Coturnix japonica: one gene and its partners. The protein of the gene in region 1 interacts with the protein of each later gene in a pairwise test. Links are inferred from orthologs where the notes say so. Each region holds a gene or a part of one and is shown on either strand. Other genes may lie near its edges. The genes, in order: VIM; SMARCB1; SIRT6; fatty acid-binding protein, adipocyte; TXLNB; MRPL44; YAE1.

Region 1 (4,231 bases):
GTGCATTTACTCTGCACACTTTAGAGCCATGTAGATGAAAAAGGTATTAATAGCCTGAGCAAACAAGGTTTCAGTCACACATATGAGTAATTGGACTGACTACATATTGATTTTATCTGAAGAGAGTCTTTAATGGCTGAACATCCTCATTTATTTCAGGAAAGCCCTTGTTAGCCAGGAGCTGACCTGTGTGCCTTGTCATGGGCTCAGATCTGTTCCCTGCTGTCAGAGCATCTGACAAAGCTGCGGTACATAACTTCCTCATTAATTATGATGCCTCTTTTGTTGCACAAAGCAGTCACCAAATCCCTAGGCTTATTTGATGTAGAACACCCCGCAGTATACGTGGAAAGTAATGTGGCATCTCTTGTTTAGAGGAAAAAATTCAGTAACTCTCAAGCGTACTTTCTCTTCTAAATCTGCACGTTAGAACTACTCTGTTGTGGCAGGGAAAAACTGGGTATACTTTTGTTCAAACCAAACCCAGCAGCATGCACTATTTGTGCCACTGATCAACTCAGACAATGATCTGCAGTTTTTACATGTAAAGCTGAGTGGTTACATGGGCTCAGTGCATGGGCAGAGCAGCTGGAGGCTGAGTGACAGGGCAGGGAAGCAGACAATGAATGTGAGGCACGCACAGCACAGCTCACATAATAGCCCGCAGCCTTTACAAAGCTGTGTTGCTTGGAGGGAGAGGAAGACGTGCCTTGAAGTGCACCAGAGAAGCACGCATGATTGAACTAGCTTTAAGTCAAAGGAGCTTGTGCTTGAACTCTAGTAATTTGAAACAAAAAGGGGAAATGCATCTGCACTGACTTGGCAACTACTTGGATGGGCTCAGCCCTAGTAACACAGCAGCCTGGGTTAAAGGCAATACCTGGAACTGCTATTTCAAGCTTCAGCCCCCACAATGTCAGTGGACACCTCATTCCCAGCCCCTGCCATGTGTCTGCTCCCACACTGCCCCACTAAGACCACCAGGGAAATGCTAAAAACCAAATGACAGCTTCCTACATGGTGACACCTACTATTGCCTATGCAGAGCTCTAAGATGGTCAGCCTGCGCCCAGCTGTCTGGAGATACAGGGCAGCTGCTTCCAGCTCAGAGGAGTGATAGCAGTGTTTTTTCACCCCAGCAGTTTTCAGGAAGTTCTGTTGTTTTGAGAAGGCACATTCCTAAAGTTCTGCTCGTCCAACCAGCCCTCAATCCACGCCAAGAGCTGGTTTTGCACAAATCAAAACTTAAGCTCAGAACTTTCCGCAGGCTTCACAGTTGGTTCTGGCTGTCACATCGGCTTTGGTTCAGCTGTGTGACACCGCAGCTTCCTACAGACCAAACTCCGGTGCACTGTATCTTACATTAACATCTTTGCTTATAAGGGATTGAATTCTACATTCTTAATGCACATCAAGGGGATACAGACAGCTGCTGTGAGCTCATCCCGAGGAACCCATTGTCTGCTTCTGATCAGCAGACACCACTGATAGGAAATACTTCAAATCTGGGACAGTTTCCTGAGTGTGCAAAGTGATGCGGCTCATCCAGAACCGAGTTCAGTATTTTACAGAGTCTCCCCCAGGAACGTGCCCCCACCATTACACATTCGGTAGGAATGCAGCCCACGGCAGCCTCCCCTCCAACACAAAGGGATCCATTATTTCAATCTGCTGCCACCACACCGGCCATAATGCCTGGATCTGCATTCCTCGGTGAATCCCATAGAAACCATTAATACCCTTCAGCCCGGCGCGCAGATGGCTGCGCCTTTTCACAACTATTGGATCAGAAAGCGATTCCACGTCGGAGCGCTTTTGTGGAGCCGGCCAGACCGGGATAAAGTGGGACAATAGCCTCACCCTCCCCTCCGGACTGCGGCACCCCCCTAAAGAAAACAACGGGGAGACCAAGGGGCTGCGCCGAGCGCCTTTTGTGCGGGCAGAGCCAGCCCGCATCGCCAGCCCCCAGCCCCAGCCCCGACCCTCCGCCCCCAGCGCCCCGCGGCGGCCGCGCCCACCTGTCGGAAGGACTGCAGGGTGCTCTCGGCCTCCTCCCGCTGCAGCATCTCCTCCTGCAACCTGCAAGCAGCGACACACGGCCGACGTGAGGGAGGGAGGTGAGGGATGTGAGGGTGGGTGCCCGCCCCGCGCCCAGCCCCGGCCCCGCACTCACTTCTCCCGCAGGCGCATGATGTCGTCGGCCAGGTTGTCGCGCTCCACCTCGACTCGGGCCTTGTCGTTGGTCAGCTGGTCCACCTGCCGCCGCAGCTCCCGCATCTCCTCCTCGTACAGGTCGCCCAGACGGGACGTGCCTTTGCCCTTGAGCTGCTCCAGCTCGGCCAGCAGGATCTTGTTCTGCTGCTCCAGGAAACGCACCTTCTCGATGTAGCTGGCGAAGCGGTCGTTGAGCTCCTGCAGCTCCACCTTCTCGTTGGTTCGGGTCTCCCTGAACTCCGAGTTGATGGCGTCGGCCAGGGTGAAATCCACGGCGTCGTGCATCCTCATGGGCGGCATGCTGCTCCGCAGCCGCACCGACGTCGCCTTGGTGGCGTACACGCCGCCGGGCGAGGCGGACACGTAGCGGGCGCTGCTGGGCCGGAGGGCGCTGCCCAGGGAATAGCGGGTGGTGGACGTGATGTAACGGGTGCCGCTGCTGGGCCGGCTGCCCCCGCCGAACATGCGGCGGTACGAGGAGTTCTTGCTGCTGGTGAAGCTCATGGCGGCAAGGAACGGAGCGGCTTTGTAATCCGGGAGCGGAGCGGGGCTCGGAGCGCGGCGGGCGAAGAAGGGCGGTGGCCCCAACTCGGGGCCCCTCTTATGGGGCGCCGCCGCCCCGCCCCGCCCCGTCCGTCTCCAATGGCCGCGTCCGAGCGGGGAGGGGCTGGGGGGGAAGGGGTCCGTGGTTACAGCTCGGGGACAAAGGCGGCGGGACACGGGGCGGTTGCCGAGGTTCCTTGGGGCCCTACGCCCCTCCGACAGCGCAGTGATTCCGAGGGCAGGACGGGCTGCGGTGCTCCGACAGCGCTCCCAGCACGGGCCGAGCGCTTAAAAATGCGTCTGTGCAACTTTGTGCGAGCCCCGTCCCTTTCTCCGTATCTTGCTGAAAGTCTCCGGGATCGGGGGAGCGATGCTCGCTATTCACTAAGGGCTCCCAGACATCCAAAGCGGGCAGACAGAAACACGAACCGTCGATAGGTTTGGGGTTAGCTGCTTCCGACGGCACCCGCAGCCTCCCGTCCCGTGCTCAGGGCTCAGCGGCTCCCGGGGGCCCGCCCTCATTGATGCCGGCGGAGCTGCGCCCATTGCGGACGGGCGCTGCCGCACTGCCACGGCTGCAGCAGGGACACCGCTCTGCCTTCGGGCGCTGGGCTCCTGGTCACTTGGAGCGGTTTAACCAAGGGTCTGTTTGCTTTTAGTTTCTGTAGGCACACGGTCATTGTTTCAATAAAGAGCTCTTACAAAAAGCTCGTTAGAAGTGATCCCCAAAGAGCCTCAAAGGCAGGACATGCCTCATGCTTCTACTGCAACTGCACTATCGCAGTCGGGCTGCCAAGTGAGACAGGAGAACCAATAGTGTTGGCGTAAGATTGGATGGGAAAAACCGGAGCAGCAGTAAAAGAATTCCCCAAGACCATTTTAAGCGTGAGTGCGGAGTGGTGTAAGGGAGGTGGTGAGATCCCTGTCCTTTAGGGAACGTAAAGCTGGGCTGCCCAAAGCCCGAGGCACGTTCTCCTAGGGAACTATCCCACACTGATGCATCTGATTGGTGACACCATTCTCCTCCTTGCTCTAAAAGTGACTGACACAATGCAAAGCTATCTGCACTTATGGGGTGTAATGCTACCACTGGATTTAGTTTTTCTAACTTGCAGCCCTGCAGAAGCAATGTCTATGTTGGGAGTTCTGATAAACCTAAACATGAGCAGCGGGCAGGGAGTGAAGTGATGTCTGTACCCCAGCTCACAGTAGGGTTGGCTATTGCCCTTCAGGTGTTGTACCTTATGGGAAGAATCAGAGCCCTAATATTTAATTAAAGTTGTAGTGGGAGATTTTTGGTTGGCTGCTCAGTGCCTGTGTTCCTTTCTGTGCTGTAGTTTGGTTCTGATGGCGATAAGAAGTAAAGGAACACAGGCAAAAAGCTCAGAGGGAGGCAGCAAGCGGCTCCCAAGGGAAGATGCTGCACTCAGCTCACCGGGAGCTGTCACAGATTGCTGGGCTGCTAAGGTGCACT
Region 2 (3,500 bases), on another chromosome or scaffold:
AAGGATTGGGTTGCTGCCCACATATTACAGGAAGAAAAACATTAGTGTTTGATGATACAGCTCATTTTGCAGTTACTTCATTCCAACTGTAGCAGATGTTCTGCAGAACACTCTCTGCGCATACTTTTTGCTGGAGATGTCGCATTTCTCAGCAGTTCCTCTGTAAACATAGACAGGAAATCCAAATATGAAGCATGTATTGGTGGTACACCTGGATTCGTATGCAGTGGATAGTTGTGGGCCGGAAAATGGAGTTTGAAGGCAATAATGTGGAATGAGTTCTCAGTCCAACTGTCATTAGGAAGGAACTCGTAATTTATGATACTAAGTTTAAAAATAGTGGCAGTGGTGTTCGGGGCCTGCAGGTTAACACAGAGTGTCATTCTGCAGAGAACAGAAGGCAAAGAGGAACAACCAATGGGTGCCGACACTGCCCAACAGCTCTCATCACCTGGATGCAGTACCATGCTCAACAACCATTAACAGAAATCGCATGGGCAGGGACAAGAAGAGGACTTTCCCTCTGTGGTAAGACAGCTTCCTTCTTCAGAAAAGTGGAAACAGTTACTAACATGACACACTGCAGGGGGCTGCTCTGATAGGCAGGTGGCTGCCAGAGCCCTGTAACTTTGTGTTGAGGATTATGTCTAATAATTGAAAAGTTGAAGTATAGGGATGGTAACAATAAAAAGCACCTTCCTTCTATGCATGCCAGATGTATCATTTTCTATTCCACATGCCCTATTGATGTTCTTTGTTCTAGCTTTGATGACCATGACCCAGCAGTCATCCATGAGAACGCATCCCAGCCGGAGGTTCTGGTTCCAATCAGGCTTGATATGGAAATTGATGGACAGAAACTCAGAGATGCATTTACATGGAACATGAATGGTATGTAGGAGGGAGAGTTTCCTGAGACTAGAAAAATACAGTTGCATTCATTACCAAATATGAAGAGAGAACAAGCAAGTCCTTGCCCCATATAGGAAAATCTTTTAAGCTCTTCTACAGTGATGTGTCCTATTCGGCTCTCATGGCTCTTAGCAGATCCCTAACACTTCCATGGATTGCAGTAATTCCTGAATACCTGTAATCTGAAAAGTTAGATGGGATCTTAATTTTGTGTATTCCGTAAGTGGCAGACATTGGTGGCTGAGAAAAATGTCTTCTTGTTCTGTATCAGAAAAGCTGATGACCCCAGAAATGTTCTCAGAGATTCTTTGTGATGACCTGGATTTGAATCCTCTGACCTTTGTCCCTGCTATTGCCTCTGCCATCCGACAACAGATTGAATCATACCCAACTGACAGCATCCTAGAGGATCAGTCAGACCAGCGTGTTATTATTAAGGTAAATTACAGGGAGGCAGTAGAATGAGAGCTGAACTATACTTGCATTTCTCTAGTTTTGTGTTCTTGGTTTTTTGGATTTTTTGTTTATTTATTTATGGGGGAGAGATAGCACAAAGACTTCCCTCAAAACCAAGGAGTTCCTAATTCCAATCCTTTATCCAGGTTAGATTTTGTCCTTGAGAAATGAATGACTCGTTTCTTCCCTTGTCTCCAGCTTAACATCCACGTAGGGAACATCTCCCTTGTAGACCAGTTTGAATGGGACATGTCAGAGAAGGAGAATTCACCAGAGAAGTTTGCCTTGAAGCTGTGCTCAGAGCTTGGCCTGGGTGGGGAGTTTGTCACTACTATTGCCTACAGCATCCGGGGACAGCTGAGCTGGCATCAGAAGACATACGCCTTCAGGTACAGAACTGCCATCTTTCTGGATGGGTGTAGATGTGTTTTCTTACTTCATGGCTGTTAACGTCAACGAATCTTGAACTGCTGACACAGTGTAGAAAGCTTAATTTGAAATTGGTTCTTATAGATTGTATACTATATAGTTCTTAAAAGACTGTTTTATTTCTTGGACATCCTTTTGTTTCATCAATTGGTGATCCCCTAAGCTGGTATTATCTAAGGACCACTGCTTGTGCAAGGTTAGCAGCTCACATGGTTTCATTTCTTCTCACTGTTCTGGACAGTTGTCTGTCTTGAAGTGGCAAGTGAGTCACACGTCATGGGACGGTGAGGTGTTACTGGTGAGCTGTAAGAGACACTGTGCTGCTTGTATGAAATGGATGGAGTCCTCTGGATAACAGAAATGTTAGTAGTGGATCTAACCATAGCACTCTAAATGTACGTGACACATTTGCAGTCATGTCTTCCTCAGGCACAGCCCCTTGTTGCTGGCTGCCTGACTGGTGAAGAAATGAAGAGTTTTGATCTGGAGCCTGGTGTGTTTTGTTCTGTAGATCCTGGTGCCTCTCAACCAGCTTGTGCTTTTGCTCAGAGATCTTTTTGTGGTGGGTGTAGTGCATCCCAGGGCCAAATATCAATGAAATCAGTTTTTGCCACAGAGTGAAAGGCTTTTCTAATTAACACTGTCAGAAAACCTTGTGCCTTCTTCTAATGTCTGCACATGATGAGCCTTGGATACGTTTCTGTCTCATCAGCTCTGTCTGACCTGGGCCAAGCTTTGGTCTTCTGAGCTAAGCCTGACTGACACTGTAGCTCTCTGCCCTGGATGAAGTTGAGGTTGGTTTGATCACAGGCAGTTCTCTTAGCTGGAACGCAACAGTGTCAGGTTTGATTAGTCAGCTTTGTAACTTGCCTCCTAATATTAATTATTTCCAGTTGTGCTGTGCAGAGTTCTGTGGCAATGTACTGCACAGATGTTATCCTCCATATGTTGCTTAGTCTGCAGTCTGTTAAGTATTCCTTAATGTGTGCTGGTGGGTTTTTTGACCTCAGGCCATGGTGACACTTGAGGAAGTTTGAGAGTTCAGCAAGTGATGTATTGCAGAGGTGGGAGAAAGGTGCTACTGGCGCTGGTTTTGTGGAGGTCAGCTCAAGGAAGCTTGCAGCTAATCCCTAGTGTGGTTCACATGGAAGTTAAACTCTTCTCTAGGAGCAGGGAGTTGACTTCTCCCTTGCTATCCATGACAGCAGATTGATATTTGCAGATCTGTGCTGTGGAACAGCTAGAGCAGTGGGTATGTGTTGCTGAGGATGGGTGGGAGCTTGGAGGGCAGTCAGTGGCAATATGATGCCTCTAGTACTGCTTCTTCTTCCCTGCTGCTTTACACATCTACTTTATATGTGTCCCTGGTTGCTGAAGAGTGCTTTGTTTTTGGGGTGGCTCAAATAGGTAGATTTCAGGCCTTCTTTAGGCTGTTGCCATTTTTTAAGGGGGTGATTTAAAAACGAGGAAGGAAAGCACAGAAATAAAGTACAATAGCTGTGAACCATTCAGAGGCAGAAAGCACCTAATTTAAGACTTGCTTTTTTTGTCACAGTACAAATATGCCCTCCTCTTCCCTCTCTTCTTTTTGCAAAGGAGTACTTTTGAAACCTTCCTGTGATTAATGATGTTTGGGTTTTGTGGTTGGGTAGTTCCTGAATTCCCAAACCACAGCAGTGATGGTTGCTCCAAAGTTATTCCGC
Region 3 (4,026 bases), on another chromosome or scaffold:
GGGCTGCTTGCTGTGGTACTGGCAGAATGCAAAGGGCATAGACACCCTCCTGGGTCATTGCAAGCTGCAGCAATCAGCAGTCATGATATTCAATTCTAAATATGGTACCTGCAGGCTTCATCTGCTAGTGTGAGGTCACGGTCAGGCAGGGAATCTTCCCAGTCCAGAATAGTGTCTCTTAACTTCCCTCTATAAGAGACACAAGGACCACTGTTACCCTGCCAGGCAGGAATGGTCAGCAGAGATGGCTAGGAGACAAGTAACAGCTCTATAACCCAGACCCCCTGTCGCCCTGCAACACAAAATCTGAACATCAAAATCACTCACTCCTACCTCCCAGGTACTCTGTGTCCCCTCTTCATTTCACAGCACCCTGGGAAGCCCCATCCAGCACCCCTACTCCCATAGCTGCCCCAGCAGACGTACCTGCAGGCCCGTAGCCCTCGTGCTTTGGTGACGCTGCACAGCCTGCCCGTTGGCTTCAGCCCCATGCTGCCCACAACAGCATCCCGCACGTACTGCCTGCACACACAAGAGATGGTGTTATTTACAGCCACACGTATAGGGTGACTCACAGCAGCCACACATAGAGAGGTGACACAGCTGTGAAACATCCCCACAATACAGCATGTTCCACATCACAGACACCTGGGAGTGAAGGAAGCAGGTGATGGCTCAGAGCCACATGCAATGAGCTGGGCACCCAAATCCTTCATCAATTTCAAACCACAGCTATTGCTTACAATAATTTCCCTTTTAGGGAGCTTTGAACATCAGCTCCAAGGCCAAGAGAGGCTGTTACCATCCAGGATGCAAAGCCCAGCCTGCAGCAACCTTCTGTTACCTCTCTAAGCAGGCAGCCTCACTTGCCACAATGAGCAGAGGGTTTCCCAGGCAACAGAGGTTTCTCAAAATGTTTATTTCCCACAATATGACAGGGTTTGTGATTCAGATGGGACAGATCTGACCATGATTCCATGCACTCTGCACTAGGGACCTCTCCTGACAGGCAGCCCCAGGTCTGTGCAGTCCCTCCACTGTTCCTTAGGACAACAACAAAGCCCCCACCTGCTGCTGCCCACGTACTTGCCACATTTCGTGCACTCCTCCACAAACATGTTCCCGTGGAGCTCAGCCAACTTGTCCCTGTGAGAGAAATGACAGAAATGAATGGAGAACACCTTGTGCATTTAACACAAGAAACATTGTTCCAGGGTGGTTTAATAAGGTAGGGAGAACAGCCATGCTTTGGCATCTGGGAGAGACTAAAGGAACCTGGAGGCAGGGTGGGAGAGGCAGTACCGTGGGAATCCTGAGCGCACATGAAGGCCATCCACGTTCTGGCTGACCAGGAATTTCAGGATGCCGACTCTCTGCAGCCCCAGAAGTGCCATGTGAGTCTTGGAGGGCCTGGCGTTCTCAAAGGTGGTGTCAAATTTGGGGGAAAGCCCCTTCTCTTCCATAGTCCAGACACCATTAGGCCCCCTGCAGCAATGGGACAGGAGAAGGAATAAGTGAGATCTCAGGCTCTGCTACGCTGCTTGTAAATGCATCCCAAGCCCTATCAGTGCAAGCAAGGCACTGCTAAACAAGGACCACACATTCCTGGTTATTTTAGTTCAAAATGCATGTAGGGCTTCTGTGGGTACAGTTTAAAATCAAAACAGGAAAAGGTAGATTCAGCTGGATATAGGACAAGACAAGAGCAAAGAGGACATGAAAGGATGGCACAGGTCTCCCTATAGGCAGGATGGCTGGCAGGAAGCCCAGCCTAGATGGAAGATGGACTCAGATGAGGTGCTGTTGTGTCCCCCCCCCCCCACACACACACAGTGCCTGCTGCCCTCTGCCTTTACCTGAAGTCAGGGATCCCTGAAGCGGTGCTGATACCAGCCCCTGTGTGGAACACCACATTGGAAGAGCTCCTTATCAAGTCTGCCAGCTCACACACCTTCCTCTCCAGCTCTTCAGGTGGATCAAAAATCTGAGCAGAAGAAACAAATCCCAACGTGAATGGGGATATAGAAATGGGTCCTACATGCCTCCTGGTAGGCACAAAGAGTCAGCAAACCACTCTTCTATCACATCCACAATGGAAACCCCACGCAGGAAAGGAAATTTCACATTGCTTAATGCCAAATGTACATAATGAGGGAATAAGGCTTAAAATGAGGGAATAAGGCTTAAAAAGAGCAGGATGGGGGACAGCGATGGATGGGGGTCATGGGCCCATTCTGATTTTTGGCACAGCACAAATTCATTTCTATAGGACGGTTCTTTGCTCCCTAGAATGGGACAGAACTCCGACCCTTTTACAGCCCCATATCCTCACCCCAAAGCTTTTCTTAAGCTTATTGAGCATGAATGTGGGGGTTGGGGGGGACATAGGGATGGGGTCAGCCCAGTAGTGCCCACCCCAAGGTAAAGGGCCGGCCCTAAAGAATAAAGGGGACACGAAGACGGGGTGACAACGGACACAGAGCAATAGGAAGAAGGGAACGGAGGCCGGGACCGGGGAACCCAAAGACCCCATGGTGCTTGGGGTCCCCATGGGGCACAAGGCCTATGGAGGCCTTGGGGTCCCCATGGAGGCCCTATGGAGGCCTCGCAGGCCTCAGGCTATGCAAGGAGATCCCTCCACTCCGCTCTCACCTCGGGGAGGCCGCATTTGCCTTTATCCGAGTAGGGCGAGAGCCCGGCCGCGTAATTCACCGCCATGACCCGTCCCGGCTACCGGAGAGCTCATTGTTGTCGGTCCGCGAGCAAGGAGGCCGCGGCATCAGTGCGCATGCGCAAAGGCCTGCCTAGAGTAGGCCGCAGCCTCAAGACGCATGCGCAAAGCACTGCCTAGAGTAGGCCGCAGCCTCAAGACGCATGCGCAAAAGTCACGCCTAGAGAAGTCCTCGCCGCCATCTTTGTGTTTGGCAATAGGGAGCTCTGCCCTCACCCTGCTAATACATCCATTATAAAACATAGAACTTGGAGTGGAAAAAGACAAGGAGCTGCCTATGCTAAGAGGTGCCATGCAATGAGTGCATACAAAGGCAGAGGGCATCAGCTCTGCTGGCCTCAGCCATGTCTTACAATACCTTGTCTTACAATGTCTTGTCTTAAAATGCCTTGTCTTACAATGCCTGCAGACCTAGATCCATAATAGGGCTGTGATAGAATGGCTTAGGTTGGACAGGACCTTAAAGATAATCTAGTTCTACTCCCATACACTGGTCAGGGTTACCAGCTGCTGGGTTATGATCCCCAGGATCCCACCCAGCCCTGAGTGCCTTCAATTGGCATCCCCAACTTCTAACCAACCTGTTCCAGCATCTCCCTGCCTTATGAATGAAATATTTCTCCTTAACACATAACCTGAAGCATCGTGATGGTTTCAAACCCTTCTCTCCCTCATCTGAGGCTTCCCCAGCCTTGCTATAGTACCCCCTCCCTTGCAGCTGCCCTGTGTCTGGGTGCAGGGGTTTCAAGGATGTCAGTGCTCCTTGCCCTGCCTGGTGCTGGGCCCTCCCATGTTCCCCCCCCCCGGGCTGTAACTGCAGAGGTAACCCAATGCCAGTGTGTGTGTCCCCCCCCCCGTGTCGTGCTGTGGGCCAGCAGCAGTGAGACAAGGTACAGACAGGGCTGGTGTTGAGCTGGACCCGTAGCAGCAGCAGAAAAGCCTTCAAAGCTGCCCTCTGCAACAGCCACATCCCTACAGCCTGACCCCAGCGGGCAGATGAGGCTTTAAGGCTCAACCCAGGTACCACGGGACTGCTATGAAGAGCCTGAAGGCCAAGTTCAGGAAGGCAGATGTAAGTGCTGTCCCCAAGGACATAGGGATGTGTCCTGGGTTGTCCACAGGGATGTGGGGATCTGCCCTGGGGTGTCAGTGGGTTTCGTGGGGGTATGGGGACACAGAGATCTGCCCTGGGATGTCCCATGGGGACATGGGCACCTGCCCAGTGACCCAGCTTCCACTGGGATCATAGTTGTGAGCAGGGCAGAATAAAGGAAGGGAAAGCAGCACCGAGGAGA
Region 4 (4,045 bases), about 92 Mb from region 1:
TAAAGAAGAGCATTTCAGACTGGAGATGAGGAGCCTCTCTCCCCAGGGACACAGGGCTGGACAGGGAGCAAGTTTCCCACGAGGATGTGCAGCTCCATCCTCAGAGTTGTCCAAGTTTCTCCAGAGGATGCAGCCCTGGGCTGCCCAGTGTGAGCTGGCCCTGCCCGAGGCTGCATCATCCCATCTGAATTTTCCTATAATCTTACAATTATATACAAACAATTTTGTTATTACATCATTATGTCAAAATATGTGGACAAACATATTTGTTTCAGTGATCAGAAGAGTGTATTGAATAAATATAATAAAGAAGAATGTACATGATTGAATGCACGTGTTTTTTTCTGACAGTGTAATAGCGTGTTACAGCCAGAAGGAATGTCTAGTAAATTGCTGCCTCCTTTTTTTTGTGATCTGAGCTAAGATAGCATTAGAGAATTGGTCAGAGTAGATCTCATTATGCTAGGCCCGAATACACGTTGTCTCGAGCTGATAATTACATAAACAAACAATGCAAACAGAAAGAAAATGATAAATCCAGAGACTTTCAGTGGGCTGATACCATTACCTAGATTTTTGCAAGAAGTAGTCATCATGCTGGTCATTGGGACATAGGTCACTGGAGGGAACACAAGTAAAAGCGAGACAAGTCATCAGTTGTGTTACTCTGCATTTCATAGAACACTTTGTCCCCACTGCATCCCAGGAAAGCAGAACACAGACCGATTGGATCTCAGTCCTCAGCCAAGGAAGTAGGACATATCCTTCAACAGCCACCGGCACTCCCACGTTCTCCCCCCAGGTCCACTTTTTCCTCTAGCTCTGTGACTCTCTGTAGAAAATCACTAACTCTAGTTGTGCAAAAAGAAAAGTAAACGATCCCAAGTCTTTCAGATCTTGCAGCCTAGGAATTAACTGTTTTCATACAACATAAAGGATTGAAATGAAAGAAAAGGAATATGGGAGGCAGCATACCCTCTTGGGGTTGAATCTAACTTTTTCTTCTCAGAGAAAATATGATTTTAATATTTGTCTTTATGGTGAAGTGTCTTCTTGAATTATAAAAATAATTAAATAAAAAAACGACAGTGATCTTTGTGCTAGTAAGGGCATATGAATAATAACACTGTGACCTACTGGCAAAGGAGGGGTAGGGGAGGAAGGAAAACACTGGGCACTAAGGACTCCCTCTTTATTGGTCATCCTAGTACATCATGTGGCCGAGGCTCCTTTTTAAAGCTCATCTCTTGGAGCTCATACTATCCTCACGGCTTCTATTTCTGCTTGATCCTGTGAAAGACTGCTACCTGGCCTGACAAAATGTGCGACCAGTTTGTGGGCACCTGGAAGCTCCTTTCTAGTGAAAACTTTGAGGACTATATGAAAGAGCTGGGTGAGAAATGTTACCTGAAATTATTTTATCTGGGGAAGGGAAAGAATGCTGAATTCAAGATCTATTTCGTACTTGCTTTTTCTGGCTATGCTGTTTACTAAGGTCTTTTTAGTCCAACTGCTTTTATTAAATAGTTTTATGCTGGAGAACTTGGCTGTTTGGATTAGTATTGTCACACTCCTATAACACAGGAAAATCCTGATTAGGAGGAATAGTTACAGGTAGGCCAAGTCTATGCATGCCGAACTGGTAGTGCTATAAATGAAAGTAAACATTTTGCTGCAGCATTTTACGTGAATTTGCTTTTAAGCTTTTGGAAGTACAAAGTAGTGTAATGCTAGAATGCAGCCAGCTTCTTTGCGTCAAAGAGCAACACACCTAAATTTGCTCTTGGACTAGGATGCTGATTAATTTTTATGGCTATCAGAGACAGTGTACGAAGCTCTATGACTGTCTCCAGTGAATATTAATGAAGGAAGTTGCACAGATTCATGCAGATACTGCAGGTACTTGCAGAAGATCCAATCAGTAACACTCTAAAGGTGTAGACTTCTCACTTTGAATTAAAATTGGGCTTTAAAAAGTTTGCGTACTCCAGTTAAGATGGGGGAAATGTGGGGTAACTTGCACTGTTTGGATCAGTCCAGGGAGTTATTTAGAGATTGAGGGTAAAGCACTCACTGCAAGTTCTGAAGCATGCATTCATATGGCTTTCAGTGAGATTCTTCATCTTTACCCCAGATTTTACTCAGGACATAAGAGTTGCCAACTATTTCTTAATCATTTCCTTTCATTCAGCCTAGCCACTGGTAAACATATCTGCAGTTTAAGTGATTTTGTATTTGTTTGTTTTCATGGCTTACAAACTGTCATATGTTTCTGCTTATTTACTTTTAGATATAGTGTACAAGTTAGTGCATAAATCACTGCAGTTATCAGGAGCATGCACATGTGCAAATATCTGGCAGTGAAACTTTGTCTCAGTCTTCAAAATATTGCTTTTGCTACTCTGACAACAGAGCATACCCTAACCCTAACCCTAACCCTTATCTCATCCCATCTGGCTTGGTGTATGAACATACAAGCTAATGAGATGTTACAAAAGAACCTCTCCTACATAGTATTAATTAAAAAAAGAAGAAGAAAGTGATGGTGAGATTCCCATATTTTCCCCAGATAAGGGAAAATCATGAAGATAAAACTTTCATAGTGTCCTTTATAATTTACAGGTGTGGGGTTTGCTACCAGGAAGATGGCTGGTGTGGCCAAGCCGAATTTAACTATCACCATCAACGGTGATGTGATAACCATTAAATCAGAAAGTACCTTCAAGAACACAGAGACCTCTTTCAAGCTGGGTGAAGAGTTTGATGAGACCACAGCAGATGACAGAAAAACAAAGGTGAGTCCAAAAATGGCATTTTCCAACCATATATATTTCAAAAAGATTGTTGGAAAAGAAGGACAGAGTTGCTGTTTTGACATCCACTCTTGAAACGCTGCCTTCAAACGTAAATGTGCTCAGACTGCTTTTTGCTTCAGTACTTTTTGGGCATGGAGAAAGTATTCTCTTTGGCCCAAAGCATCCTGATGAAATAGTCACACTTTGCTTTTTTCCTCTGACAGAACGTCATAACCCTAGACAATGGCGTACTGAAGCAGGTGCAGAAGTGGGATGGCAAAGAGACTATTATCAAGAGAAGAGTGGTGGATGGAAACCTGGTGGTGGTGAGTTCTTTTTTGCTAATCACAAAACTCAGAACAGAATGCTGTTTTGATGGATATATTACACTGGATTCAAACACAGGCAATAAAAACATCTGACAAGACTATGCACTGAGAAAGAAGTCTTCTGAACAAGTCTGCAGCATGTATTAAAACTGAAAGGCTCTTAAGCTTATGGAATGATATAGAGGTATCTGCATTCCATCCATAGCGACAAATGGCTAAGAAAGAATAGGGTGAATTATAATCTCAGTAAGGGAAATGTTTATATTTTATAATGTTTATATTTTCTGGACAGGATAGAGAATGCATTAATAAAGTCTGTGTTAGGTGCACCCTCTCTGACACAAAATACTTCTTCTGTTCATCTCCAGTAGACCCCTCCCCCATAGCAATGTCTAAGGGGCATGTTGCAGACTACCAGGAACCTTCCAAATACCTAGGGGAAAACTAACGATGTCCTTGTAAAAGGCAGCTGGGATTCCTACGTGCTAGAAAATGATGCACATACATTAAATTCTTGTAGAGTTCTGCCTTCCCTAGAGAAAATGATGTGTCTGCAATTTTAATACTTTATTTGGATAAAGACCAAAGGAGAATAAATAAGAAATAGTGTTTGATAACGAATTCATTAGAAAAGACTAAAGAGAGCAGAAATTGATGTAGCAGAACAAGAGATGAGGACAGAGCCTAAAATGCAGAGGATGACACACGCAGCTGTAAGTTGCACTGCATACGTCTGTGTATCTGTTGCACACACATATGGAGAAGATGAGCCACAGCTAGAGAAGGTGAGGGGACAAGAGACAACTGCCTATATCAAAAGTGCTCCCTGGGTGTTAAGGCCCAGAAAGTGAGATTAGCAGTCTCCTGGGGAGGCCAAAGAAGTCCTTTGATGTTGCTTTAATCTTAGGCTTCTATGAATAT
Region 5 (3,500 bases), on another chromosome or scaffold:
TTGTTTTGTTTGTTTTCAAAACATTCAGTTTCTCTTCAGTTCACCCACGTGTTTCACTTCTAACTGAGAAACACTGTTTATAACTCAATCATTGCTGCTGATTTAGAACCTACTGTGTTTGTAGGCAGTCTTAGTGATTCACTTAGGAGAAGAACCTTAGCCAGACAGTGATGCTTCATGAGTGATGCTGTTAAGACTTGGAAGAGAGCCATGAGCCAGCATGATGACATGGCTGACGGAAGTAGGGACTTCACCGCAAGGAGCCATGATATGGGTTAGGGTCAGGGCTGGGTATGTGGGGAGTTCAGAGATAGATACAGATTGCAAACCCACCAGCACTTTCGCAGTGATAGGGCAGGTCCATAGGCAAGCAGGGATGCCCTACTGATGCATTCAGGTCTGGGACAAAGCGAATAGAGGCTGAAGATGCGCATAGGTGCGTCTGGGACCTTGCTGTGATCGAGGGGGCTACTGGTATGCCCACAGCTGAAAAGCAGCTCCCAAGGGAAAGCAGGGCCAGGTTCTGGCTTCCAGTGCTCTTCACAAGAGCTCTTAGTGGAGAAGAACTGACATAGGACACAGCCATCCCACTTCATGTCTTCAACAAGACTTCAGGGGTTCACTACGAGTCCTGATAGAAGGAGCATCAACATGTGCCTTCTTACAGAGAAGGGGAGGTAGGAAGAAGAGAAACTCGTGTTTGAGAGTGAAGCATTTGTGATCTGATTATCCTTCTGTGTTGAACATATTACAAAACAACATGGCTTAAATTGGGGATATATTTCACAACATTTTTTTCCTATCTAAACAAGAGCTGATGATCCTGGATTTTCTAGCTGATTGATTGCCAATTGCCAATTACCTCAAATTAATGAATACAATTGTAAATACTAGCCTGAACATGTCAGAAACAAAAACATATTTTGCAGAGCTTCTAGCTTAGCATTTGCAGTAATATTACTGAAGTGGTATTAATTGGCTGTCAATTAATGCTAGTCAAAACAAGATCACAAACGTCTGCCTAACCTGAAATTGCTTACCTAAATTGTACATGTAAGGCCTAATCTTTCAAGATAAACTGAAGTCAGTAGGACACCAAATCTGACCAATATAAGTTTACCATCACTTTTCAGACTGTGCCAAATGTAGAAAGGAAAGAATCAGATGCATCTGCCTGATGGGGTCCATGAGACTGCATCCAGCTGTCTTTCCAAGTCATTGCTGTTGGTGAGTTGTGTTTGGAGGGGGCCATGGTTCTGTAGATACCAGCTTTTAGGCACATCTTGAGCCACACTCAAAGCTTTCAAATATAGTCTTACAGTGAATTGCTTTAGAGATGATGAAACATAATATTTGAGTACCATATCCATAAGTCTGATCAGATATCTCACCAATCAAATCTTGAAAAGTATTAGCCTTAGTAGTGACAGTTACTGCAGTACTGAGAACCACTTTGACTGGGGAGATTTTAACAACAAACACCATGTCATGTATAACAATGAACTACAACTCTGTTATCACACACTGCCTTTGGCCAAGTTTGTTTATGTCTCTGAAAGCTGCAGAAGCTTAGACACCATAGCAAATATATGTTACAGCCAACTGAACAGGAAACAAAATGCTTCTCATTTAGCTCCATATTTTCAAAACAAGTTGTCTTTTCAAAAATAAGAAAGCAGCTTCCTTAGATCTGACAAAGCAATATCCTTCCTGTTCCTTGTCCCCACTAAGTACCTGGCTGACATTATTATGAATCATATAATTACAAGAAGGAATGTTGAAACACATCATCCACCACCTCACTGCTCAGCATTCAGCAAGTGTCGATGAATGTGCCAATTCCACATGTTTGCTTCATCTGTACTTTATCAAAAGAAAAAGCACTGCGTATTTTTCTCTGTTCACAGGACTGTGTCTAGCCAACGTATCAAAATCCATCAACGTATCTGCCAGCACTGTGAGCTGGCACTGCCCTGTGCCTCCATGGGGCTGATAGCACTCCCATGTTTGGTTGGTGCTGAGGGGCCGGGCTGCTGCCATGATGGCATGGGGCAGGGGGAGGCCACAGTGCCAGCTGTGCCGGGCTGCATGCAGCCTGTGGGCTGTGGGTTGGATGTGTCTGGAAAAATGCAAAGTCTCCACTGCAAGTTGGGGAGCCAATTATGCAACATTCAAACCAGATACTAGCATTGAATATCAATTTGTGTTACACCTGGTTGATTTTACAATGCTCTGATTTATTCAGCGCTTTGTACTTTATCAAACAAGCTGTCAGCAGTGCACTGCAAGTACAAGAGAAAGGTGGTTTGTAGTTGTTTATCTTATTATGAACTGTTTGTTGCTGTTACTATGTCACTGCCAGGCAAGGCCATTCACATATCAAGCATCATGCTGGGCACTCCAAGAGCATAATTCTCAGTTCTCTAGCTTCTTCTAAAAACTTCATTTTCCTTATTATTGACTTAAGATGTGCTGATGGGTGAGAAACAGGAAGTGAAAGTGATGCAAATCTGAAGCAAAGCTGCCTGTGTCAATAGCCAGTATTGCAGGTGAAACTAATCAAGAAAAACAAGCAAGTGGCAAATTGTGTTCAGAGAAGGAAGTAGTATGGATGGCTCTGGTGCCCTTTTGTGCTTTATCACTTGCAACAGTAACAAGAGGTCAAGCTTTGTCAGTGTTATCTTCCTCTTGGCAGATGTACAATTCACTTTTCTCCCAACAGGTAAATCACCTCGTTGGTTTGTTTCAGTGTGTTGTATTCATCAAGCCAAAGTGAAAGGATGACCTGCCACACCAAATCCCACACCAGATCACTCACATCCTGGCCAAGCCTTGTGATCACTGAGAAAACTGATTTCTCTGCTTTTAAATTAACTCTATGTTGTTTTGCTGTCAGGTACTGCACCAAGCATGGAGAATGACCAGTTCACCGAGAAGCAGCAGCAGGTTTCCACTTCACCTAGGCAAGACATTCAGGGACAAAGCAAGGAGGAACCTGTCCCCAGCTCACAGCCCCTGCCCCCCACAGACCAAACCAGTGCCCAGACTGAAGCAGCCACATGTGACATCTCAGAGGAGCTGAGCCGGCAACTGGAGGACATTATTAAAACCTATGGGTCTGCAGCAAGTCTGATGGAGAAGGATGGCACTACAGCAGGAACTGACAAGCTGGAGAAGGGAGATGTGGGCAATATGGAGGATGCAGAGTATGAGGATGCAAATGAAGAAAGTGAGAAAGACAAACCAGCCCCTGGAGATGCTTCAAGAGCAAAGGAGCCCAGCACTAGCAAGGAACAAAAGCTGGAGAAGAAAATCCTGAAAGGACTAGGCAAGTGCTTGTGTACTTACATAGCTATTCTGCTAACAGTAGTAAAACCTCCCTGGGCTTCACTTTTTCCTTTTTTAAGTCTTTGCTATGGCTGATAGGGACCACTGAAAACCACGGCAGCTGTCATAACTTTATTTGATAAAAATTGTCAGCAGTTACCTAAAAGATACAG
Region 6 (4,211 bases), on another chromosome or scaffold:
GCTGCTAAGTGCCATTTGCTTTCTTAAACCAGACCACCAGCATCAATCCCACTGACATCACGTTCTACGTTTTCACCAGGCCAAGGACAAATGGATCCAGACACAACTCACAGACCAACGCTGCACGTTAAGTTCCACTCATCTTATTAGCAGCACCTCAGAACCAGTCCCAAGGAAGCACACAAGACACTTTTTTCTATAGATTCTGAACACGCTATTAAACATCATTAAGAACCTTCTCCTGTCATTACACTTCTCGGCCAAAATACATCCATTCAGGAAGATAAAGGAACTTTCCCTGTTGAGGACAATGCCTGGACATTAAACATTATATATAAGAAAGAGAATTCATTTGTCTTATAACCATATTTAATTTGAAAATTCCAGGAACTTGACATCAGAAAACCAAACTGAACTTTGCTCTCCTGAAGGTGTCTGAGTTCAGCATAGAAGCTGTTCATTCTTGAGAGAAACTGGAAACAGTCTGTGTTATCTAGTTGCTGCTGATGGCCTTTTCAGCTGTCCATCCTTCTTTAGGATTCGAGTAATCCCACGGCCTCCTGTTCTCAGTGTACCCATAGAGCTTCCGCAGCGCCACGCGAGCAGCTTCTTCCTCTGCAGCCAGCAGCGTTTCCCCGGGCCCTTCAGCTATGAGCTTCTTATCACTGGGACAAAAGCAAACACAACGTTTTCATCAGAATCCTGAGCACTGCTGTACACCGTGGGTCAGTGCTGCTAAATGTGTTTCCCCCCAGTCTATCACTACTGCATGTAATTTCTACATACAGGCACCAGCACACACATTCCTGCTGTTTTTTTTCTTGCAAAGAGGAGCTATTGGATATTCAGCAATGGAAACTAGAGACCATTTACATTAATACCATACTAACCAGTACAGCCCAATGAAGTACAGTGGCAGAACCGTGCTGACCCCCAGCTGCCTGGTAATTCTTGGTTCTGGAGCAGCGATATTTCTCTTGGCCAACTCTTCCACCAGCAAACCCATAGGATTTACAACCTCCCAGATCTCAAACAGGTCTTTTCCAATCAGTTGGGGAATTAAAAAATCCTAAACAGAAAAATATTTAGAAGTTAAGGTCAACGGGAACAACAGCTCTAACTCCTACTGCCTGTGAACAAAAGCAATACGAGTAATTAATGCACCTGACAGCAGATAACTGGAAGGAATAACCAAACTGCCTCAGCACTACAGCATGGCTGAGCAGGACCGGGAGGTGTCGGTGCTGCTGAGCTCTGCTGGCTGAGCTGCTCAGCGTGCACACCAAGACAACCTGCTCCCCTTGAAAACGCAGCACCCGCCTGATGGGCTCATAGTGCTGTGGGCAGCTCTGAGTGCGAGCTGAGCAACTCAGCACTGATTGTAGGGACACCCAAACAGAGGCTGCGTGCTGCAGGGTCCTGCCAGAAGCTGAAAGTCCCACACAGTCCCATGTGATTTACACCTGTTCTGACCACTGTCTTGTCTGGTAACTGCTGCTTGCTCTTACAGACCCCACCTTGTATCACAAATGACATTTTAGCTAATAACTTCTCCATTCCAACATAGCAGTAAGTGAAAAGGACAACAGCTGTCCAAACTACCTTGTTATGCTGCAGTTTAACTGAGTGTTCCAGTATGAAAAGATCTTTGGATCTTTGTGCTCCTGAGTGCAGAACTTATGAACTCAGTGTGTTTGATATGAAATTAAAATGAAAGCATGCAATTTTTTTTTAAATTGAAGGCATATGTAATCTGACATGGGACCACTTCATTGTTTGACAGGTAGCATAAAACGTGGAGGGAAACACTGCTCCTTAATGAGCAATAGCAAATAGGAAGGCATTGCTGTTATAGGAGTGCACGGCTTAATGTACCTGAGCAGCCTGAGCCTTTTTGTTCTGGGGCAAGAACCCAACAAGCTCTCTGGCTCTGGTCACTAAGGAACAGAGTAAGACACACTTTTTGCCTTTCTTCCTATAACTTCGCCCTTTCCCCCCCACCGACACCATCCCTTATTGCTATCAGCAGAGAACACCACTAAGTCCGGCGCACCCTGACGAAGAGCCCGGCTCTCTCAGTCCCGCTGCTGCCCAGCAGAGCTCCCACCACCGCGAAGAACGTGTTGTGCAGCACGGCCGGCGGTGCAGGGAACTCCTCGCACAGCACCAGGTCGTGCAGCGCCAGGTTGTGCGCCACGTAGGACACGAGCTGCTGCCCGGTCAGGAAGGACACGAGAGCCGCCACCCCCGGGGCGGGCAGGCGGGGATGGGCGGCCTCGAAGCTCCGCGTCAGGTACGAACGGGCGAACTCCATCCCTCGGGCCGACAGCTCCGCGTTGTCTCGGAGGTTGAGGGCGACGGCGTCTTTATCCACGCCGAGATCCCGGCGCTTCGCCTCCTCGCTTTTAATGTAACAGGAATTCACGAAGGCGGTTTTGAGGAGCTCCAACGAGAAGTTCTCCTGCAGGCGGTGTCCGAACGCCTGGATCTCGGCGTGGTAATCCCAGCCGGGCCGCTCCGAGCTGCGGGCGAAAGGAAACGCGGTCAGAACGAGGCGGCTCCGGCATCACGAGCGTCCCCCGCCCTCCCTGCGGCTCTCACCGCCGGCGCGGCGCCTCCCGCAGCCGCTGCATCTCCAGGTAAGCGCGGACCCAACGCTTCTTGTCGCGGCGCGGCGCGGAGCCCGGAGCGACCCGCCCCGTCCCGGCCGCGGGCAGCAGCCGCCGTGAGCCCCGAAGCAGCAGCAGCACGGCCGACATCGCGGCGGGCCGGGAAGGGAAGGTCCGTCCGATAACGCGTCCCCCGGACGGAAACGCTCCGAGTGGGAGCGGTACGGAGCGCACAGGAAGCGACGGAGTAACCGGTCCGTCTGTCTGTCCGTCCGGATGGGCTTCACAGCGCAGTTCCACTGCACACCAGGCCAGGCAGCCCCACATCAGGCTCTCAGCTGTCTGCTTGCTGCTGCTCTTACTTCTCAGGCTTCCAATTCAGACAAACCCTCACAGTTAATTAAAATAATCTTAAACACATCTTTAAATTATTTGTTTTATTAAATACACTGCAGTGGGCTCTCGTACACCATCATCTTTTGATTACAGCCCGACTCACTTAAAAATGTATTTTATAGAAAAAACATCTGCAAAATGAAAGCTAAAATGAAAAGAAACAAACATGTTACACACCTCTGGACAGTCTGCATGTTGGCAAAGACCTTTTATTGTCTGACCCGAACAGCCTTAAACTAGGAACATACTCATGAAACAGGACTCACTCCTTGAGCACGGCACAGCTCTGATACAAGTGAGACTGAAGGAGAACCAGCAGTGCCGTGATGTGCACTAACAACAGATCAATAAAACCTTGTTTTTATTCCTTTGTGTTGATGTTTCTTCCAAACCCAATTTGATCGGGTTTTCCCTCCTAACCACAACAAAAATCCAGCCTTTATTCCTGTTGGACACTCCTTACATTGCACAAAGCTTCAGTTCAAAATCAGCTGATCCGTATTTACATTGAAGCATGCAAAGGAGGATACTGCGAGTATTCACAATGCGAATCTATTAAATACAGCATAACTGAACAACGAGGTGTCCCTTTAACACCGCAGTTTCTACAGCCTTTTTCTGTGGTGGAGGTTTCCAGTGTATGAATTATAAAACAGCATTACAATTCAGAAACAGAAACAAAGAGTTTTGCAAATTTTGTTGGTATTTTGATCTACTAAATCTCTCAGAGCTGTGCCTAGCGCCGAAACCAAAGCCAGCTATTGAGCAGCCAGAAAGCTACAGTAATTGAATACATGATCATCTCCCTCTTAGCACGCTCTTTGTTTTCTTCTTCCAGAAGCTGGAGACGCCGATTAAGTTTGACGATCTAAAAACAAACAAACACTTTTAATAGTTTTAATAAAGTTGCCAGACTTTCAAGAAGCTTAATTAAGAATTAGCGTTGTGCTTGATGGATTTTAAACTCCTGTTTATGTAACTTTCCATCTTCAATTACTAACCTTGCTGCCCCTGCTGAGTAGGAGCAGAAATGGAGCTGGACTCTCCAGACCTCCAGAACAATACAGATTTGTGCAGGCAGTGTGGCAGGGATACAGATAGCAGACCTCAACACACCTGTTATATAACTTTATATTACAGCAGACAACCTGCTCTCCCATTTTACCATTACAGTTTTTCCTTAATATTATCAACTGTTATGCTTTA
Region 7 (4,197 bases), about 59 Mb from region 1:
GGAAATCAACCGGTTCCTCCTTTGAGTTGGGTTAGAGGCACTGATGGCTGAAAGATGAGCGTGTGTGATACTGATCTGAATGGCAGCAATCCTTTATCAGAAGCATTATGCACAGTTATAACTGTAAAGGTTTTTACATTCATATACTTTACTTTTGGATATCTCTGCTGGCTGACTGCTTAATGGCAGCACTTAACACTAAGATCAAACTGATAAAAATCCTTCATAGTCTCATAGTCTCGTGCGGGTTGGAAGGGACCTAAAAGATCACCGAGTCCAACCCCCCGGGATTCGGGCCTCTGTGTAGCAGAGCGGCAGTTCTACCACTTGCGCCACAGGGGGGATTCGAACCCAACCCTAAGCTGTTGCAACGCGGCATTTCTACCACTGCGCCACCGGGAAACACAATTCCTAGTCATCTCCAAGAATGCCTTAACAATCCTAAGCTCTGCACAATTGTGTAATGGCCCCCTGAAAACTCCCCCCCACACCCTCCAGGTGAGCAGAGAGTAACTGCTGAGCCAAGCATTTATGGTTCTAAGGTACCTTTGTATGCCAGATATCTGACTGAAATTATCCAGATTTTAATATTAGAAATGGCAATGAATCACAAATCAATTCCTTGTTTATTTTTCACACTGTGGGGGGGGGATAACTCTTCTTATATACATATTCTGCAGAAATGCCAGAACAGTTCTGTAGCCTGTGAAATATTGTTCATGTGTTTTAATCCTCTGGTATGTGTCATTGCAAAACATCACCATAATACCCAGATGTTGCTTTATGTAGAACACACACAGGTTAGGAAAACGCCCCCACTCTGAGGCACTACACCTCACTCTCAAGCCCTGCTAGTAGTCATGTCAAGGCCGTCAGCATACAATTAACTTGTCTTCAGCAAGTACACTTCATAATCCAATAGTGCTGCTCTGTTTACACAATATGAGTCACTAAATTATCTGCTTCTAAAAGAAAGGGATGGGAATATGAGCCTTCATCATTATTCCTCATATGCACAAGGATTTGTCCTAAACAGACGTGTGTAGAATTATCAACCATGGTAAAATTAAGGCATTTAAACTGAGATAATCTGAATATGGGAAACTCACACTGACTCTGAGGTATGACTTATACACCTTTCCTAGAATATCAAGCAGCTGAGGGTAAAGAATAAGGTGATAAGCAAGAAGTAGGGCCGGTGCAGCAGCCCCGAGCAGGAGCACCCACATTCAGTCCTGCCATTACAACCACGCTCGCACTCCCTCCATGGGGCAAGGTCCTCCCTCCCCGGCCCGCCTCCTTGCGGAAGCTGTAAGTCTATGCCCTTACTCAAGATGGCTGCCGGCGTCCTGTGACTCAGACGGACTTGGAAGTCACGGTGCTGCTGATTAAGATGGCGGCTTTTTACGGGCCGCATCCGGGGCAGCGAAGTTAGCGTGCCCTCAGTCAAGATGGCGGCCCCCTGCGAGCGGAACAGCGCCGTGACTCGGCGGCCGTGGTGAGGGCTGAGGGCGGCGGGGACTCAGATGGCGCCGGCGAGGGGGGATTCTGGCTGCCGACAGGTCGGAAGAGGGATAGATCTTCTCGGTCCTGCAGTTTGTGGGGAGCTGCGGCGCCAGCCCGGGCTGTGAAATGGCGGGTTGTGGCCTGGCCGAGGGGCCTCTGCCTGGAGTCCCCCGGGCCAGGCTGTGCCTCCTCCCGTAGGGCCCTCAGGTTCCTCCTGCTGGTCTCCAGGTGTGCCGGGACGTGCTGGCATTGGGGGATTGCGGGCCTTAAATGCTGTTGGTATCTTCTGCAGTCAGTATCACTCTGAAATCTTATCATAGAGAACCAGGTGTACAGCTCTCTCATCTATCCAGCTCACTTTTCTTATGACATACCGAACAGTTTCTTCCTTCCCGCACCTGCTACCTTACACCATTAATTGCTGCATTTTGTTCTCCCTTCTCTGCTCTTTGTGTAGGGGCTATTTGTGAAACTCACTTTGGAGCTAATAAGCTGTCACTTAATAGAGATGGTTTAAGGAAATATAACATCTGGTAGCAAGTGCTGTCTTGCTGAATATCTTGAAAAATAATCTCTCAAGCCTGAGGTACTGTTGTAAAGTTGTATTTACTTGGATGTTTTCACCACTTTTTGATTGGACATTGGGAGGGATAAGCTGATTAAGCAGTCAGTTCACATTAGTGAACTTTGTGTATAAGAAGAACTGCAGTTCTTGGACCAGTTGTTTAACTGCTTTAATGCTTTCCAAAAGACTCTGTGTAATGGTACTGGAAATTCTGGAAGATTTGCTTAAGATAAAAATTGGATATGATGAACCCAGAAGCGTGATTTCACCACACTTCCTTGTATCCACCATTCTGTGGGTTGTAAGAATTTGCTCCAGTTAACTGTGAATGGCCTCTTAAGGTCTTATCAGTTCCTAAGATGAAGTAATCACATTATTTATTCATCTCTTTACATCAGAACTTGCTAACTAATTATTAAAAAAAAAAAAAAAAAAAGTAATATTTTTATTCAGGATTTACAAGCATTAAGCATCTGGCAGAGTTAGGAAACTGAAGATCAAAGGTGCAACTCATCATCAGTTGTCAAGATCACAATATTGCAGGCAATTAGATATGCATATAATTTAATGCACTGCTTAGAAGCTGCATGGGACTATTTGTTGGCTGCTATCAAAATTTTATAGCTCTGGATAAGTGTTTCTGTCTGCTGTTCAAGTTACTAGCAACATATAGAAATGCTAATTTGGTGCACTTCTGTTTGTTGCTGACATAAGAAGCAAAGAAGGGAAGAAATTAGTCTTAAGTTGTCCTTGTAAATCACACAAGGTGCTTTACTGGTAATAATTTCTGTCTCCTTTGACAGATGAGCTCCAGTGAGGAATAGCATCCAGTTTTCACATGGAAATGAATGTACAGGTTGAATAATCATCCCCTGATACGGCTTCTCTTCAGAACTCATGTTTTTTACTTTTATTTCTAATCTGACACTTAGCTGGGAGACTTCTGAGAGTTTCTCAGTATTTGCTTTAGGCCATAAACAAAAGTTAAGTGTCATCACTGCTGCTATGTCCTGGGTACAAGTTGTAGCTAGTCGATCCAATGAGGACATATTTGATGAAGATGCAGATGAGATGTATCCAGTACAGAAAGAATGGAATAACACCATGAAAAAAAGATTGAAGGTATTTCTCTAAGCATGATTTTTATAGTCTTTTAAAATATTTTAGGTTTACCAGTAACATATCTTGCTAAAAATATGGCTGATTTAAATGAGAAAACTAAGAATGGCTGTATGAAAGTTATTGTGGCTTGGTTTCTTCTGAGTGTTAAAAAAAATTTAAGAGGAAGTTACTATCTTCAGTAGCCTGTCAGGACAAAGTAATGTTTTACCAAAAAAGATGTTGACTCCCTCTACACAACTATGTGCATTTCTGAATGGCAGTGCTAAATTCTCATGTAACCTACTTGCTTCATACTTGTAGGTTAATTGATGCTAACAAAGAATAGAGGATATTTGTTGGTGTTTTTTTGTTGGGTTTGTTTGTTTGTTTTTTTAATATTTGGTGTGAACTACTTCAGGTCTGAGTAGTTTTTTGGCTTATTTATTATCTTAGTGAAAAATACATTTTATGAAAGCAGAGAACAAAACAAATACATAAACTTGGGTTTCTCTGACAGATGTTTTCATTCAAACTGGGCCCACTAGGGCTTATCTTGTGGGTGAAGAACATAAATGTATGGTAATGTGATTAGAGGAGAAAGAAATAAATTTCAATTCTCCAAGGAAACTTTGTTAAGGGAGTTGGTCAGCACAAAAGTAAAAGTGCTTTCCTGTAGACAAGTCTTTATTTTCTGACTTAGCTGGAGGTTTGTTTAGAAATGAACTGCATGTTAACAGATCAGCAGCATTAACAGTAAATTATAATGCACTGTAAAAAATGTGTTTTGCTTTAGCAGTGGTGTAGTTGAGTGCAGTGTTCAAATTAAAAAAAAAAAAAAAAAAAAAAACTTGGATTTAAGAGACTAAGTGCTTAAGGTTTTTTATTGTTGTAGAAGTGTTTGTAGGTCCAATTCTGCAGGCTGTGAAAAGTGTGTTTTACCACTTCTGTTATAGGAGGGCTATAGAGATGGTGTTGAGGCTGGGAAAGAGCTTGCAATTCAGGAAGGCTTCAATCAAGGTTATAGA

The links.
Region 2: the proteins of VIM (region 1) and SMARCB1 interact in binary tests that used the Homo sapiens proteins (3 or more experiments, as listed by UniProt). The link is inferred for Coturnix japonica from reciprocal best matches to the Homo sapiens genes VIM and SMARCB1.
Region 3: the proteins of VIM (region 1) and SIRT6 interact in a two-hybrid assay, tested with the Homo sapiens proteins (2 studies listed by BioGRID and IntAct). The link is inferred for Coturnix japonica from reciprocal best matches to the Homo sapiens genes VIM and SIRT6.
Region 4: the proteins of VIM (region 1) and fatty acid-binding protein, adipocyte interact in a two-hybrid assay, tested with the Homo sapiens proteins (2 studies listed by BioGRID and IntAct). The link is inferred for Coturnix japonica from reciprocal best matches to the Homo sapiens genes VIM and FABP4.
Region 5: the proteins of VIM (region 1) and TXLNB interact in binary tests that used the Homo sapiens proteins (3 or more experiments, as listed by UniProt). The two-hybrid records come from large-scale screens. The link is inferred for Coturnix japonica from reciprocal best matches to the Homo sapiens genes VIM and TXLNB.
Region 6: the proteins of VIM (region 1) and MRPL44 interact in a two-hybrid assay, tested with the Homo sapiens proteins (2 studies listed by BioGRID and IntAct). The link is inferred for Coturnix japonica from reciprocal best matches to the Homo sapiens genes VIM and MRPL44.
Region 7: the proteins of VIM (region 1) and YAE1 interact in a two-hybrid assay, tested with the Homo sapiens proteins (2 studies listed by BioGRID and IntAct). The link is inferred for Coturnix japonica from reciprocal best matches to the Homo sapiens genes VIM and YAE1.

Annotation. Positions count from the first base shown.
Region 1 is NC_029517.1:18,030,649-18,034,879, forward strand, and holds the start of VIM (vimentin), read right to left. Parts: upstream 2,801-4,231; 5' UTR 2,719-2,800; coding exon 2,174-2,718; intron 2,118-2,173; exon of another isoform or gene 2,097-2,117; intron 2,080-2,096; coding exon 2,019-2,079; intron 1-2,018. UniProt on the Homo sapiens protein: Vimentins are class-III intermediate filaments found in various non-epithelial cells, especially mesenchymal cells. Vimentin is attached to the nucleus, endoplasmic reticulum, and mitochondria, either laterally or terminally.
Region 2 is NC_029530.1:7,053,063-7,056,562, forward strand, and holds part of SMARCB1 (SWI/SNF-related matrix-associated actin-dependent regulator of chromatin subfamily B member 1), read left to right. Parts: intron 1-390; coding exon 391-528; intron 529-763; coding exon 764-891; intron 892-1,183; coding exon 1,184-1,350; intron 1,351-1,566; coding exon 1,567-1,757; intron 1,758-3,500.
Region 3 is NC_029543.1:1,710,488-1,714,513, reverse strand, and holds the start of SIRT6 (NAD-dependent protein deacetylase sirtuin-6), read right to left. Parts: upstream 2,801-4,026; 5' UTR 2,719-2,800; coding exon 2,653-2,718; intron 1,985-2,652; coding exon 1,857-1,984; intron 1,486-1,856; coding exon 1,303-1,485; intron 1,147-1,302; coding exon 1,087-1,146; intron 523-1,086; coding exon 427-522; intron 190-426; coding exon 109-189; intron 1-108. UniProt on the Homo sapiens protein: NAD-dependent protein deacetylase, deacylase and mono-ADP-ribosyltransferase that plays an essential role in DNA damage repair, telomere maintenance, metabolic homeostasis, inflammation, tumorigenesis and aging.
Region 4 is NC_029517.1:109,983,698-109,987,742, reverse strand, and holds the start of fatty acid-binding protein, adipocyte, read left to right. Parts: upstream 1-1,245; 5' UTR 1,246-1,320; coding exon 1,321-1,393; intron 1,394-2,622; coding exon 2,623-2,795; intron 2,796-3,019; coding exon 3,020-3,121; intron 3,122-4,045.
Region 5 is NC_029518.1:48,828,089-48,831,588, forward strand, and holds part of TXLNB (beta-taxilin), read left to right. Parts: intron 1-1,133; 5' UTR 1,134-1,227; intron 1,228-2,896; 5' UTR 2,897-2,910; coding exon 2,911-3,328; intron 3,329-3,500. UniProt on the Homo sapiens protein: Promotes motor nerve regeneration. May be involved in intracellular vesicle traffic.
Region 6 is NC_029524.1:7,918,896-7,923,106, reverse strand, and holds MRPL44 (39S ribosomal protein L44, mitochondrial), read right to left. Parts: upstream 2,801-4,211; 5' UTR 2,760-2,800; coding exon 2,602-2,759; intron 2,523-2,601; coding exon 2,054-2,522; intron 1,070-2,053; coding exon 891-1,069; intron 666-890; coding exon 494-665; 3' UTR 128-493; downstream 1-127. Other genes in the region: MFF (mitochondrial fission factor), read right to left, coding at 3,742-3,873. UniProt on the Homo sapiens protein: Component of the 39S subunit of mitochondrial ribosome. May have a function in the assembly/stability of nascent mitochondrial polypeptides exiting the ribosome.
Region 7 is NC_029517.1:76,799,809-76,804,005, reverse strand, and holds the start of YAE1 (protein YAE1 homolog), read left to right. Parts: upstream 1-1,397; 5' UTR 1,398-1,498; exon of another isoform or gene 1,499-1,562; intron 1,563-1,623; exon of another isoform or gene 1,624-1,734; intron 1,735-2,874; 5' UTR 2,875-2,968; coding exon 2,969-3,193; intron 3,194-4,125; coding exon 4,126-4,197. UniProt on the Homo sapiens protein: The complex LTO1:YAE1 functions as a target specific adapter that probably recruits apo-ABCE1 to the cytosolic iron-sulfur protein assembly (CIA) complex machinery. May be required for biogenesis of the large ribosomal subunit and initiation of translation.